Linked DNA regions of Saccharomyces cerevisiae S288C. The protein of the gene in region 4 binds, or shares a complex with, the protein of the main gene of each other region. Each region holds a gene or a part of one and is shown on either strand. Other genes may lie near its edges.

Evidence for each region.
Region 1: IMG1 (region 4) and MRPL44 share a complex: the UniProt entries of both Saccharomyces cerevisiae proteins name them as parts of the mitochondrial large ribosomal subunit.
Region 2: IMG1 (region 4) and MRP49 share a complex: the UniProt entries of both Saccharomyces cerevisiae proteins name them as parts of the mitochondrial large ribosomal subunit.
Region 3: IMG1 (region 4) and MRPL28 share a complex: the UniProt entries of both Saccharomyces cerevisiae proteins name them as parts of the mitochondrial large ribosomal subunit.

What each region holds. Positions count from the first base shown.
Region 1 is NC_001145.3:720,460-723,008, forward strand, and holds MRPL44 (mitochondrial 54S ribosomal protein mL53 MRPL44), read right to left. Parts: upstream 945-2,549; coding exon 887-944; intron 740-886; coding exon 501-739; downstream 1-500. Other genes in the region: MRE11 (MRX complex nuclease subunit), read right to left, coding at 1-194; ORA1 (oxidoreductase), read right to left, coding at 1,134-1,937; TATA-binding protein-associated factor TAF7, read right to left, coding at 2,154-2,549. UniProt on the Saccharomyces cerevisiae protein: Component of the mitochondrial ribosome (mitoribosome), a dedicated translation machinery responsible for the synthesis of mitochondrial genome-encoded proteins, including at least some of the essential transmembrane subunits of the mitochondrial respiratory chain.
Region 2 is NC_001143.9:133,169-135,823, forward strand, and holds MRP49 (mitochondrial 54S ribosomal protein mL61 MRP49), read right to left. Parts: upstream 967-2,655; coding exon 553-966; downstream 1-552. Other genes in the region: putative serine/threonine protein kinase KKQ8, read right to left, coding at 1-294; cAMP-dependent protein kinase catalytic subunit TPK3, read right to left, coding at 1,341-2,537. UniProt on the Saccharomyces cerevisiae protein: Component of the mitochondrial ribosome (mitoribosome), a dedicated translation machinery responsible for the synthesis of mitochondrial genome-encoded proteins, including at least some of the essential transmembrane subunits of the mitochondrial respiratory chain.
Region 3 is NC_001136.10:1,384,085-1,387,081, reverse strand, and holds MRPL28 (mitochondrial 54S ribosomal protein mL40 MRPL28), read right to left. Parts: upstream 1,010-2,997; coding exon 566-1,009; downstream 1-565. Other genes in the region: STP1 (Stp1p), read right to left, coding at 1-266; CMI8 (Cmi8p), read left to right, coding at 1,316-1,558; MFA1 (mating pheromone a), read right to left, coding at 1,796-1,906; TFIIH/NER complex subunit TFB3, read right to left, coding at 2,306-2,997. UniProt on the Saccharomyces cerevisiae protein: Component of the mitochondrial ribosome (mitoribosome), a dedicated translation machinery responsible for the synthesis of mitochondrial genome-encoded proteins, including at least some of the essential transmembrane subunits of the mitochondrial respiratory chain.
Region 4 is NC_001135.5:209,373-212,419, forward strand, and holds IMG1 (mitochondrial 54S ribosomal protein bL19m IMG1), read right to left. Parts: upstream 1,052-3,047; coding exon 542-1,051; downstream 1-541. Other genes in the region: RRT12 (Rrt12p), read right to left, coding at 1-238; BUD23 (18S rRNA (guanine1575-N7)-methyltransferase), read right to left, coding at 1,346-2,173; ARE1 (sterol acyltransferase), read left to right, coding at 2,557-3,047. UniProt on the Saccharomyces cerevisiae protein: Component of the mitochondrial ribosome (mitoribosome), a dedicated translation machinery responsible for the synthesis of mitochondrial genome-encoded proteins, including at least some of the essential transmembrane subunits of the mitochondrial respiratory chain.

The DNA.
Region 1 (2,549 bases), on a different chromosome or scaffold from region 4:
TTGGAAGGCTTATTCACGTGAAAAAGATCACCGGACTGTACAACCATGTCTACGTTGTTATTTTTGGCCAGCATCATGACTTCATGGAAAGTTTTCCAAGAATCATCGCCAGTAATGGGATCATTTTCGTTGTAACCCACATGATTATCTGTAGTAATTAAAATCCTTATTGTGTCTGGATCAGGATAGTCCATAGTCGAGTTTTATCGGATCTGAGCAGGTACAACTTGCGTCAATTGTCTGCATTCTCTTAATGTTGTTTCCACATTGTCTTCCTTACAAGCGTAAAGAGTAATTTAATATGGCTATAATGTTTGGGTTCTATTCGATTGGCCATACTATTTAAACCTTAAGTCAGTTTGGTTGGGTATATCTATCTATACGTTTGTGTAATTGCATATATATTATTTACAGGCTTGCTTGTGAACTCTGACTTTGTTTTTGTTAGAATATTAGAAACGTGCATGCCTACAATGAGATTTGTAGATGCCTTTATTTTCTCAATGCATTTCCAACATATGTTTGAGATCCAGCTGTTTCGAGTGACGGTCGAAATGATTGGCTAATTCCTGAAAGTTCATGTTTGATGGATCGACTTCCATTTCTTTTTTGTCCTTGTAGGTTACTTTCACAAGAGGCTTGACTTTATTGTAATCTGAGATAATTTCCGATTGAATCTGCGTGCCCATGTTTCGTTGCGTTGGTGGAATGGCAGCAAGTACTAACCTAGCAACTTTCGCTGAAATCAATGATATGACCATATCATTTGCTGTTAGTATTTGTGATAGATCGGTTCGAGCCTACCTCAGCCTAGTTTAGCCAAATCTTTAAATCATGATGGCCAAAGGTAAGGAGAACGAATAACAGAGCGAAAAAAAATACATACCTTCCTTGCCAAAGGGATTAAACCTGACAATTACCTTACTGAAGTATTTAGTTATCATGGCGAAGATATAATTAAGCTCGTTTCTTCTTCACATCTGTTCATCCTCTATTTGAGGATCCATAAGTTTATCTCTTTTATTTCGCCGGTATATTCCGTAGAATCGCGCAAAACGGTTCAGGGAAGAATGAAATAGCTAAAAAGTCTTACATGTATAAAAAGTATACAGATTTACTTAGTTTAGCTAGGTTTATCCACGGAAGATATGATGAGGTGACGCTTGGTTTGTTGGAAAGATTAAAGTGTCTGCAATTACAGTATTTTGTTTTCTGGAAGTTGCATAGACGATCAGATCAGCCACGTCATCAGCCATCAATGGGGTAGTATCCTTGTAAACATTCTTGGCTTGTTCCTCGTTACCTCTGTATCTAACTAGTGAAAATTCAGTCTCGACTAGCCCTGGTGCAATTAGAATGACTCTAATTTTAGTGTTGATGAGCTCCTTTCTCAAACTATCAGTGAACGCCCCCACGGCAAACTTAGAGGCACAATAGATAGAACCTGTTGGGTATGCGTCTCTGCCAGCGATTGAACCCAAATTTACAATATCTCCTGAATTCTTGGCTTGGAATATGGGCAGTACAGCTTGTGTGATATTGATTAAAGCCGTGACGTTGGTGTCAAACACGTCCTGGATATCCTCCGTTGCGATCTGGCCCACACGGTCACTGCCAAGAGCCTTTCCGGCATTGTTCACCAGAATGTCAATATCCTTGAACTCTTGTGGCAAGTTTTCAATGAAGGGCTTGATTTTTTCTGCTTGAGTGATATCCAGCTGGGCCACATGAACTTTTGCGTTTGGAAACTCTTGATCAATGGTCTTCTTCAATTCCTCGAGCTTTTCTAATCTTCTAGCAGCCAAGATCAGTTTCATATCACCATTGGATGCCTCCAAGTACTCTAATGCGGTCGCCTTACCAATACCAGCAGATGCACCTGTAATGAGGACAGTCTTCTTAGCCAATCTTTCTGCAGCTTTTCTACCTTGGGACATTATCAAAATACGTTCTCAATGTTCTATTTCCCGCCTTTACTAGTGAGCTTGAACACTTTCTATGCGCCATGCTGTTTCATCTATCCTCCTTTCTTCAGCTTTTTATATCGCTCCGATAAGAAAAATCGGTGTCGTGCCTTAATATATATCAATGCTATACGTCATAGAGTAGAGTCGTATAGTGTATAAGAGTAATATATAGATGATAAAGAGAACTTACTCATCACCCTCTGCACCAAATAGCATCATCATATCGAGATCGTTCTGGTCGAGTGTTTCCTCTGCGGGGGCTTCATCAAGTTCGCGCACCACCTTGTTCTCTTGTATGTGTTCCCGTTCATGCACATTATCCTCGTCCTCATCGTTTTCTTCGTCATCCTCCTCGTCTTCGTCCACTTCATCCTCTTCCTCTTCTTCTTCCTCTTCCTCTTCTTCTTCCTCGACGTTATTTGCAGTTTCTGCGTCAGAGCGATGTTGATGTTGTTTCTGGACAGAATCTTCGGTTTGTTGTAACTGCTTACGTTTTAGTTCAGCCTCCTTCTCGAGCTTTTTAATGCTATCTATGAACCTGCTTTTCAAAAGAGGATTCGTGGCTTTACTTAATTTATGCTT
Region 2 (2,655 bases), on a different chromosome or scaffold from region 4:
TGTCTGTCTAAATGGATGTGACAGGCCCGGGGTGCAACACTTCAATGTATAACTACGCTGGCGTATTGGAGAATTTTTTGGATCTAAAATTTGTGCGGATACGGTTGATCGTCTTGGTGGCTCAGAGCTTCTCTTGGGTGAGGTAGAAGACGATCGATAAGGAATTCGGGTGACATTAATAGGACTTGAATCTCTTGAACGAGGCGGCCTGAAAAGGTTTTTAAAGGACTCAGAAAATGACCTTACTCTTCTTGTCACAGGTTGTTGCCGCTTCTTCTCCTCCTGCATTACCATTGATGCTGTCAATGTTTTTGAGTCCATCATGCAATTAAACTAGCTAGTTGAAGTGAAAATGAAATTTCCTTATTTTCCACAAGAAATACGCGGAGGGCAAAAAAAGGGACCCAAGGGCTGACAATATTCAGCACAATCCTACTTATTGTACTCTAAATTATATACTTATATGCCCCATAAGTGAGTTTTGAATTTACATATTTCCATGAAGGGCAATGTTTTTTGATATATACATGAACAAACTTATCGAGAGAAAGCTTATATAATACTTTCTTGCGGTCCAACTCTTATGATCTCATTTTCAGGAAGAGGAACGTGCTCTATTTTGTCAAGTAAGTCTTTCATTATATCTTCATGCATTTTATTACGCATATCAATAGTCTCTACAACGGAGCCTTCATGAGATAAAATCTCCAGTTTGCATGGAACGCTTTTTTGCTTGTCTTCGTTCTTTATCCTTATCACGTCAAACTTCATTCTTGGATTATAGAACTGCAAAGTGGGTAGGTAGTTATGCCAAAAAACTCTGGCACCCATATGTCCATTGTGGTTTTTCGTTTGAAAAGTCAATCTAAGACCTGAGTATTTTTTAGGATCGACTAGAATCTGCGGTAGTCTGGTAGTGGCGCTAATTTTATTCAAAAATTTTAACTGTTGTGCAACCTTAGACATCTTCTTATTGTAGCAGGCTCACTTATGTTATACTGTTCTTCTATTAATGAGTTTTATGGCCGATTCTTACAGATATCCTGTTTTCCCTGGGTGAAAAGTCCTAGATCACTTTGAACGTCCCAGTCTTCTGAGGACGCAAATGTAGTCACAATATGGCGTATATGAATGCTCCTTTATTTATCTGTATACACCTCTATTGAATAGACGTACGTAGATATATACATGTACATATATGCATGTGTCACTTTTTTATCATGGCCCTGTTAGACTCACCAAGAATCTATAACCAGGTTTGTTTGTGCTTTTTCTTGTTCTTGTTTTTACTTTTATTGATTTTTTTTTTTTTTCAATTACAATTATCCCACTGAACCTCCTTAAAATTCTTTCATTAAATCCATATATGGATCCTCCCCTTGAATTCCATAGTTGAATTCCTCTTCAGGGTATCTGTCAAATTGAGAAGTGTCACCTTGGCCCTGTTGGATTGGTGGTTCGTACGGCGTTTCTATGTATCTTGCTAACAATTTCTCCCATATCACTTCGTTAAACCACGGATGGTTCTTGACATCTTCACTTCCATTTTGTAAGTTACCCAACCTTTCACTTAAGTCTCTGGTAATTAGCTTCTTCAATAAGTCCTGCGCGTCTGGATGGAAAAATGGTGGGAACTTCAATTCGGCGTTCAGTATATTTTCGTAAGTTTTCATGGTGTTCGAATTGTAAAATGGAGTGTATCCGGCAAGCATTTCATAGATTAGCACACCAAAACTCCACCAATCCACTGATTTATTATACGGTTTTGTACTGACCACTTCCGGCGCTATGTAATCTGGTGTGCCACATAATGTGTATGTGACATCGGGAACGTATTTTGCGAAGCCAAAGTCGGTTATCTTGATATGGCCGTTTTTATCTAGAAGGATATTTTCTGGTTTCAAGTCTCTATATATTATATCCTTACTGTGCAAATATTCCAACGCTAAGCATACCTCTGCGGCATAAAATTTGGCTACTGGGTTGGGAAATCTTTGAGATTTACGTAGTAAAGAAAATAATTCACCACCTTCAATGTAGTCCATTACCATGAAAACTTGCTGAGAATCTTGGAACGTTCCCCACATTCGAATGATGAATGGATGTGAAACAATTGAAAGCATTCGGCGTTCGTCATTGGTGTGTTCAACCTGCTTCAGCTTCACTATAGTGTGCTTTTTCAATGTCTTCAAAGCGTAAAACCTCCCATTGTGATTGGAACGAATTAGGTGAACTCTCCCAAATGAGCCAGTTCCCAAAGTTCTTAAAATCTGAAAGTCACTTAGGGAATACTTTCCTGAGGTATCTCTATATTGTAGCATTGGTTTTTTAACCAAACAAATACCTGCAGACGCTTCTTCTTTCAACTTTCCGCTGTTTCTTCCATTTATCTCCACGGGTGTGTTGGAAGAACATTCCTCATGCACCGAATGTGCGTTTACAGGAATGTCTTGTCCAACGTTATCTGGAGTTGTTTCTGTCTTGGCAGTAATGCTTAATTTCCTGATTTCATTGTTGTTCATCGGATCAACATACATTTTGTGCAGGCTCGCTCTTTCCTTGTACAACCACCGATATACAATATGATTAATGTATTATTCAATAATATACGTGAAACTTTCTTATTGCTTAAAGAGTGATCGCCTATAAATTTTC
Region 3 (2,997 bases), on a different chromosome or scaffold from region 4:
ACATCCATGGAGCAAGGGATCACAGAGCAGCCACCATTTAAAGAACGGTCTATATTATTTGATTCGGGAAACAAACTTGTGGTAGTCTTTTCTTCATCTGCTGCATCTTTGCCTTCCTCCTTTGTCGCATTTTCACAAGAATAATGATGACTTAGATCTGGCTTGGATATAATAACTCCGCTGACGAGCTCTCTGAAGAACGCGTATATCTTGCCTGGAATGGCCCTAATATGTTTCTGCGGAAACAGTAGCGTGGTAGAGGGCATTTTTGAACGAATGTGGTATAGCCGGTATAGTTTGCCTTTTCCTTTAGTCTGTAATGTAAATCTACTTTTAATCAATGAGTCCTTGCAGTTTATACAAGAGTCAGCTTGCTTTTTTTTTCGCTTGCAGGGATGGGAAAAAGCAGTAAAAAAAACGTCAATAGTGATACAGTTCATGTCATAATTACCACATGCCCTTTATATGTCTATGTACATATAATTATATAAGTCCATATATACGTGGCATTCTATTGATCATCAGTTATTTACAGCAGGAGACAGTCAAGCGTTCGCTCACGCTATCATTTTCGGAAGTTATAATGCCATAACGTATTTGGGGGGAAGTCAGTGGGCACCTTCATTTCCATCGGGAATCGCTTGCCCTTCTCGGAAGCATTGGCAGCCTCAAACAGACGAGGGCTGAGTTCTTGTAGAAGGTTCATAGATCTCTCAATGCTCTTATATTGTAATTCCAACTGTAAATTTCTGCGCTCCCGTTGTTGCTGCTGATAAATTGACCAACACTTCTCAATGGTCTGATGTTTAATCAGGTCTTCACGCGCCAGCTTCAGCAACTTGGGCTGCTTTCTGCTTGCAGACATCACACTCAACTGCGTGACGACCCTTTGTGCCAAAGGTGACAGTGAGCTCTTGCTCTTTGTTCTCTTATTTCTGATGAAGACCGTGGTCCCAGATACCTGTTCTAGAACGGCTCTGTGTGGTTTTTTGAATGTTTGTGCCAGCATGTGTTATCTTCGTTGTGTAGCGTAGGTCTTCGTCAGTTCAGTATCCTAATCTGCAAATATCTGGAGGTATATTAACTTATGCTTCCCTCCATACAGGCAGGCCCCAGTCTGCTTCATCTTGTTTCTCGCTGGGAACTTTTGTCGCCCCATACGATAGTCACTGTATACGTAATTCTCAGCCGTGCATATTTCACAATAAAGACAGTCTAAAGGGACAAAGGCAAAGCGTCAATGGACAGACGACAATTAACTGGATATTATTTTATGTGTTGAGTATTCAAAGCACATAAACAAAAACAGATTATGATGGATAGCGGAAAGAGTGATATAAATAAGCATGCATACAAGGAGACAGCGACCCCGCTGCCCGTAGATCCGCCCTCTTACGAAGAAACAATGAAGCAAGATAAGGAGGAGGTCGAAGCCGATGAAACGACATCTTCCGCACACAGAGACAGCTTTATGAGGCCTGTTTACACTCACCATCCGCATCCAAGATCCCACAAGGGATATCCGGGTGCGAAGACCCTTACATATACTTCACGGTAGGTGGTAAGCGGTATATGTACATATACATATATATATATATATATATATATATGAGCGTGTGCATGGATGTACAACGATAACAAAAGCAGGTACAGGGTATCAAAATATTTTATATAATATAGTTACTTAGGATATTTATTATTAGGTCTAAAAAGAAATATTACGAACAAACATGATATATTGGTGTAGCGGAAAAGGAAGATAAAGGAGGGAGAACAACGTTTTTGTACGCAGAAACTAAGCAATAACACATGCTGGGTCCCAGAAGACACCTTTGATAATATAGTTGTCCTTCTTTTCACTGCTGGTCTTTTCTTTTGGAGCGGCGGTAGCGGTAGATGGTTGCATTTCTATTCGATGGCTTTGTACTTATTTTGGTTTTATCCGAGAAACAGTTACAGATCCCTCTCATTAATTCATTTCTGGCGGTTTATATATGAAGACTCTATTTCATTTTTTTACTTGATTTTCAGCAACCACTGAATCTGTATCTTTATCTCTACCATTTTAGGTTTCTTAACTGTTTTTTCTGATTACTGGGTTTCATTTAACATGTAAATTTCCTTTTTGGGTAATTACACACTCGTTTGTAACAAGAACAAAGAATAAAGGTATGGGCCAACCGTAGCAGTAGGTGCCTTTTTTCTGAACACTGAAACAGATCGTGAATGCATGTATATGCGTACATAGAAAATAAAAAGTAGTTGATTACATAGCTTATGCCACGTTGCACACTATCCTGATGTTTTAAAGCTCCTCGGATATAACACATCCTAAGCCCATAAATGCCTCTGTCAACACCCTTTCGTACGCATAATTAGTGTTGAACCCAGACGCAATAAATTCTTTCCTGTGCTCAAGATCTTTGATGAATGGGTCATTGTATACTGAACCTTTCAACGTAAACCTTGGGTGTGCTTCTCTATCACCGTTAAACGGCGTGAACGGTACAGCATCTTTGAGTCTCGAATTCTGTACGTTCACATTTGAATTGAAATATGGATTGTTTTTCAGAACTCTATTTAGTTCTTCCAATTTCCTTCTAGCGGACGATTTTTTCAATTTAACCGTATTTTTAACGCCTTCGATTGTTTCATTGATATCCTGGGTGGTCGTACTCAACCGGTTGACGATTTCTTTCTTTGTCCACTCTTTGTTCATTCTTTCCTCCTCTTCGATTTGTCTTTCCAACAGTCGCTTCTTCAATTTCATCTCCTTTTCGAATTTTTGTCTCTGTTCGAAACTTTCTATCTCTGTTCTGCTTCTCTCCAAGTTATTCATAATCAGTTGCTTGTTTAATTCCTCGTAGGTGCGTAGTTTCTCCTCGGTCTTAGCCACATCGATCCCGTGATCTAGTTTGTATATAATGTCTTCCACCTCTTCCAAATATTTGTTATATTCCACAAGGTCACCATTGAAGTCATCGATAGTTTTGTTGA
Region 4 (3,047 bases):
CCACCAGTGGGCTTTTCTTCAGCTTGTTCACTAAGTTCTTGGACAGGTTCATGGTCACGCCGCGGAAGGATCCGATGGAGAATTTCTTCTCAATTTTGTTGTCGATGAACTGTCTCCATGACCTGTTGGAATTCGAAGTGAATTGTTGGAATGCTGTGGGATTTTTGAACCTCACCAAATACTCCTCTGCGTATGCGAGGTTGACCAGCAAAGAGATGAGTATGCACTGTGGCTTCATGACCAGTGTTTTTTTGCTGTTTTTCTTGGCGGATGTTAGAGGATGTCTAGCACTTGAGTATACCTCTATATGCTGTGTAAAATAGAAAATAAAAAAGCCAATGAGAACAATATTTTGTGTCGTTTTTTTTATTTTCGCTTCAATTCTCTATACACGTACGTCATCACTACGGGAAACCAAAAAAAAAAAAAAGAAAACAGTACAAAAAGGTTTACTTTACCCATAGTTAGTATACGTAGATTTTATACACGCACTATTTTTCTTATATACAGGAGATGGGTGGCCACAGAACCCGCGCCTAGCCTATTTCTTTCTTCTTAGACCTGCCTCGAGGTCGCCGACATCCAACCTTGTACCTCTGATGTAGTAGTGTTTGTTTCTTTGTCTGCTCGAGACGTGGGGGGTTAGCAAGTCGATTCTCTCGATCAGCGGCGAAAACAATGGCACTCTAATCTCGACGGCCGTCTTGGCTATCTGGTTCCGCAACAGCAACGAGGCGTCTTGCACCAGTTGTTTGCGGTCTATGGAAAGGATGTAGCCAACAAAGGTGTCGTACGAGCACTTGGACGAGTCGTACACAATCCGGACCACGTCGCCTGCCTTCAAGCGGTCCTTGTTCTTTTTACTGATGAGCTTCCTCTTAACGGCCCCGGGATCCAGAGACTCTATTTCTGAGAGGGCCACCTGCTTCATAATCTGCGACGAAGCTATGCGCTGCACAGGTGGGTACACGGGGATGGTTTTTCTCTTGGTGGCGGGGACCATGTAGGACCTTGTCCATGATCCAAGCAATCTGACGTTCCTGCTCCACATCGCTATGGTTCTCTCTCCCTTTCAGCAGCTGCTCAGAGGGAAGACTCGATTCTTCTTCTTCTTCTTTACTGGGAGTTCCAAAGCACCAAAATTGAAAACCAAGAAAAAAAGGAAAATACATCACTACATAAAAGTGCGCGGAGCCATTGACCACTCACATACAGATATAAGTGTATATATACAAGTATACATATACAAGTATACATGTAGAAGGAGACAGAGACAGAGGGAAATGTATAAGTGTGTATTTTTATAGTATACAAAAGAATATGCGTGTGAGGATGTGTGTTTCTTCTAGAACCTGTGTCTTCTTTTCCTCCCGGTGAACTTGGAGTCCTTCGCAACTTTCCTCCCACGTCTTTTCATGAGCTCCTTCTTTCTTAGAATGAAACTCTTGGCAGACTCCTTGTCTTTGCCTCCCTTCAAGCGCTGGCGCAGTTGTTTCTTCAAGTTGACGTTCTCCTCGTCCATGGTCACACCGTCCAAATTCACCTGCTCCTCCCCCTGCGGTGGGGCCCCACTGCTCAACACAAGGTAGTACTTCTTATTCTTTTTAGACTCTGGGTCGTCCACCACAAGCCCGCCACTGAACCCTGCCACCTTGGCAGACTGCAGTATGTCGTCCACCTGGTCGTCGTTTTTCGGGTAGAACTGGGCCACAAATTTCCCTCCCTTCTTCAGTGCAGCATACAATGTGTTGAAAAACCTCATCAACCGCTGTTTAGGATCGTTGTATGAAGTGTCCGCATTGCACAGCCATTGGATCGCACTGATACTAATAGCCGCGTCAAACGAGCCCGCCCGGAACGGTATCCCGGTGCCCATATCCTGCAACATCAAGTCGCCCTCCAGCTCTCTACTAAGACCGGTCGCAAGCATGCTGGGCGATATATCCAAACCACACCACACATGGTCTCCCTCCTGCGTCAAAATCTCCCCAGACAGTCCGGACCCGCACCCGATATCCAGAATGAAACTGCACGGCTGCAGATTCAAAAGCTCCAACGCCCTCAGCGTCATCTTCGCCTGGATATGCTGCACTCTGGTCGAACCCGTGTACTTGTGTGCTTCGCTATCATTATAGAAAATCTCCGGTGGTGCCAACTCCTCAGGACGTGACATTATTTCTTCTCTGATATATTTCCTGTGTTTCCGTACCGCACCTTTTTAGCACTACTTTTTTACTATGCTCTTCTTCTTCTGCTTCTTCTGCTTTTTTCCTCTTTATCACACTATGTATGTGCTGCTCATCTCTTCTTTTTATCGATAAAATTGAAAAATGTGAGATGGTGTAGAGTGAAAAAAAAAAAAAAATCTGGCTTGGCCATCAAATACCCGGCCGTGGTTGGACTCGTTTAGCGAACAATAGCACCCAGCAGACCCTGGCAACATGCGGATGATATAAGAAGGACGAGCGTGGTGGAGGAAAGGGGCGCCATTGGCACACTCACGCAGGTGGTTGTTCAGCACGGCTTGCAGCAAGAGCGCCAAAACAGATTGCAAGAATGACGGAGACTAAGGATTTGTTGCAAGACGAAGAGTTTCTTAAGATCCGCAGACTCAATTCCGCAGAAGCCAACAAACGGCATTCGGTCACGTACGATAACGTGATCCTGCCACAGGAGTCCATGGAGGTTTCGCCACGGTCGTCTACCACGTCGCTGGTGGAGCCAGTGGAGTCGACTGAAGGAGTGGAGTCGACTGAGGCGGAACGTGTGGCAGGGAAGCAGGAGCAGGAGGAGGAGTACCCTGTGGACGCCCACATGCAAAAGTACCTTTCACACCTGAAGAGCAAGTCTCGGTCGAGGTTCCACCGAAAGGATGCTAGCAAGTATGTGTCGTTTTTTGGGGACGTGAGTTTTGATCCTCGCCCCACGCTCCTGGACAGCGCCATCAACGTGCCCTTCCAGACGACTTTCAAAGGTCCGGTGCTGGAGAAACAGCTCAAAAATTTACAGTTGACAAAGACCAAGACCAAGGCCACGGTGAAGACTAC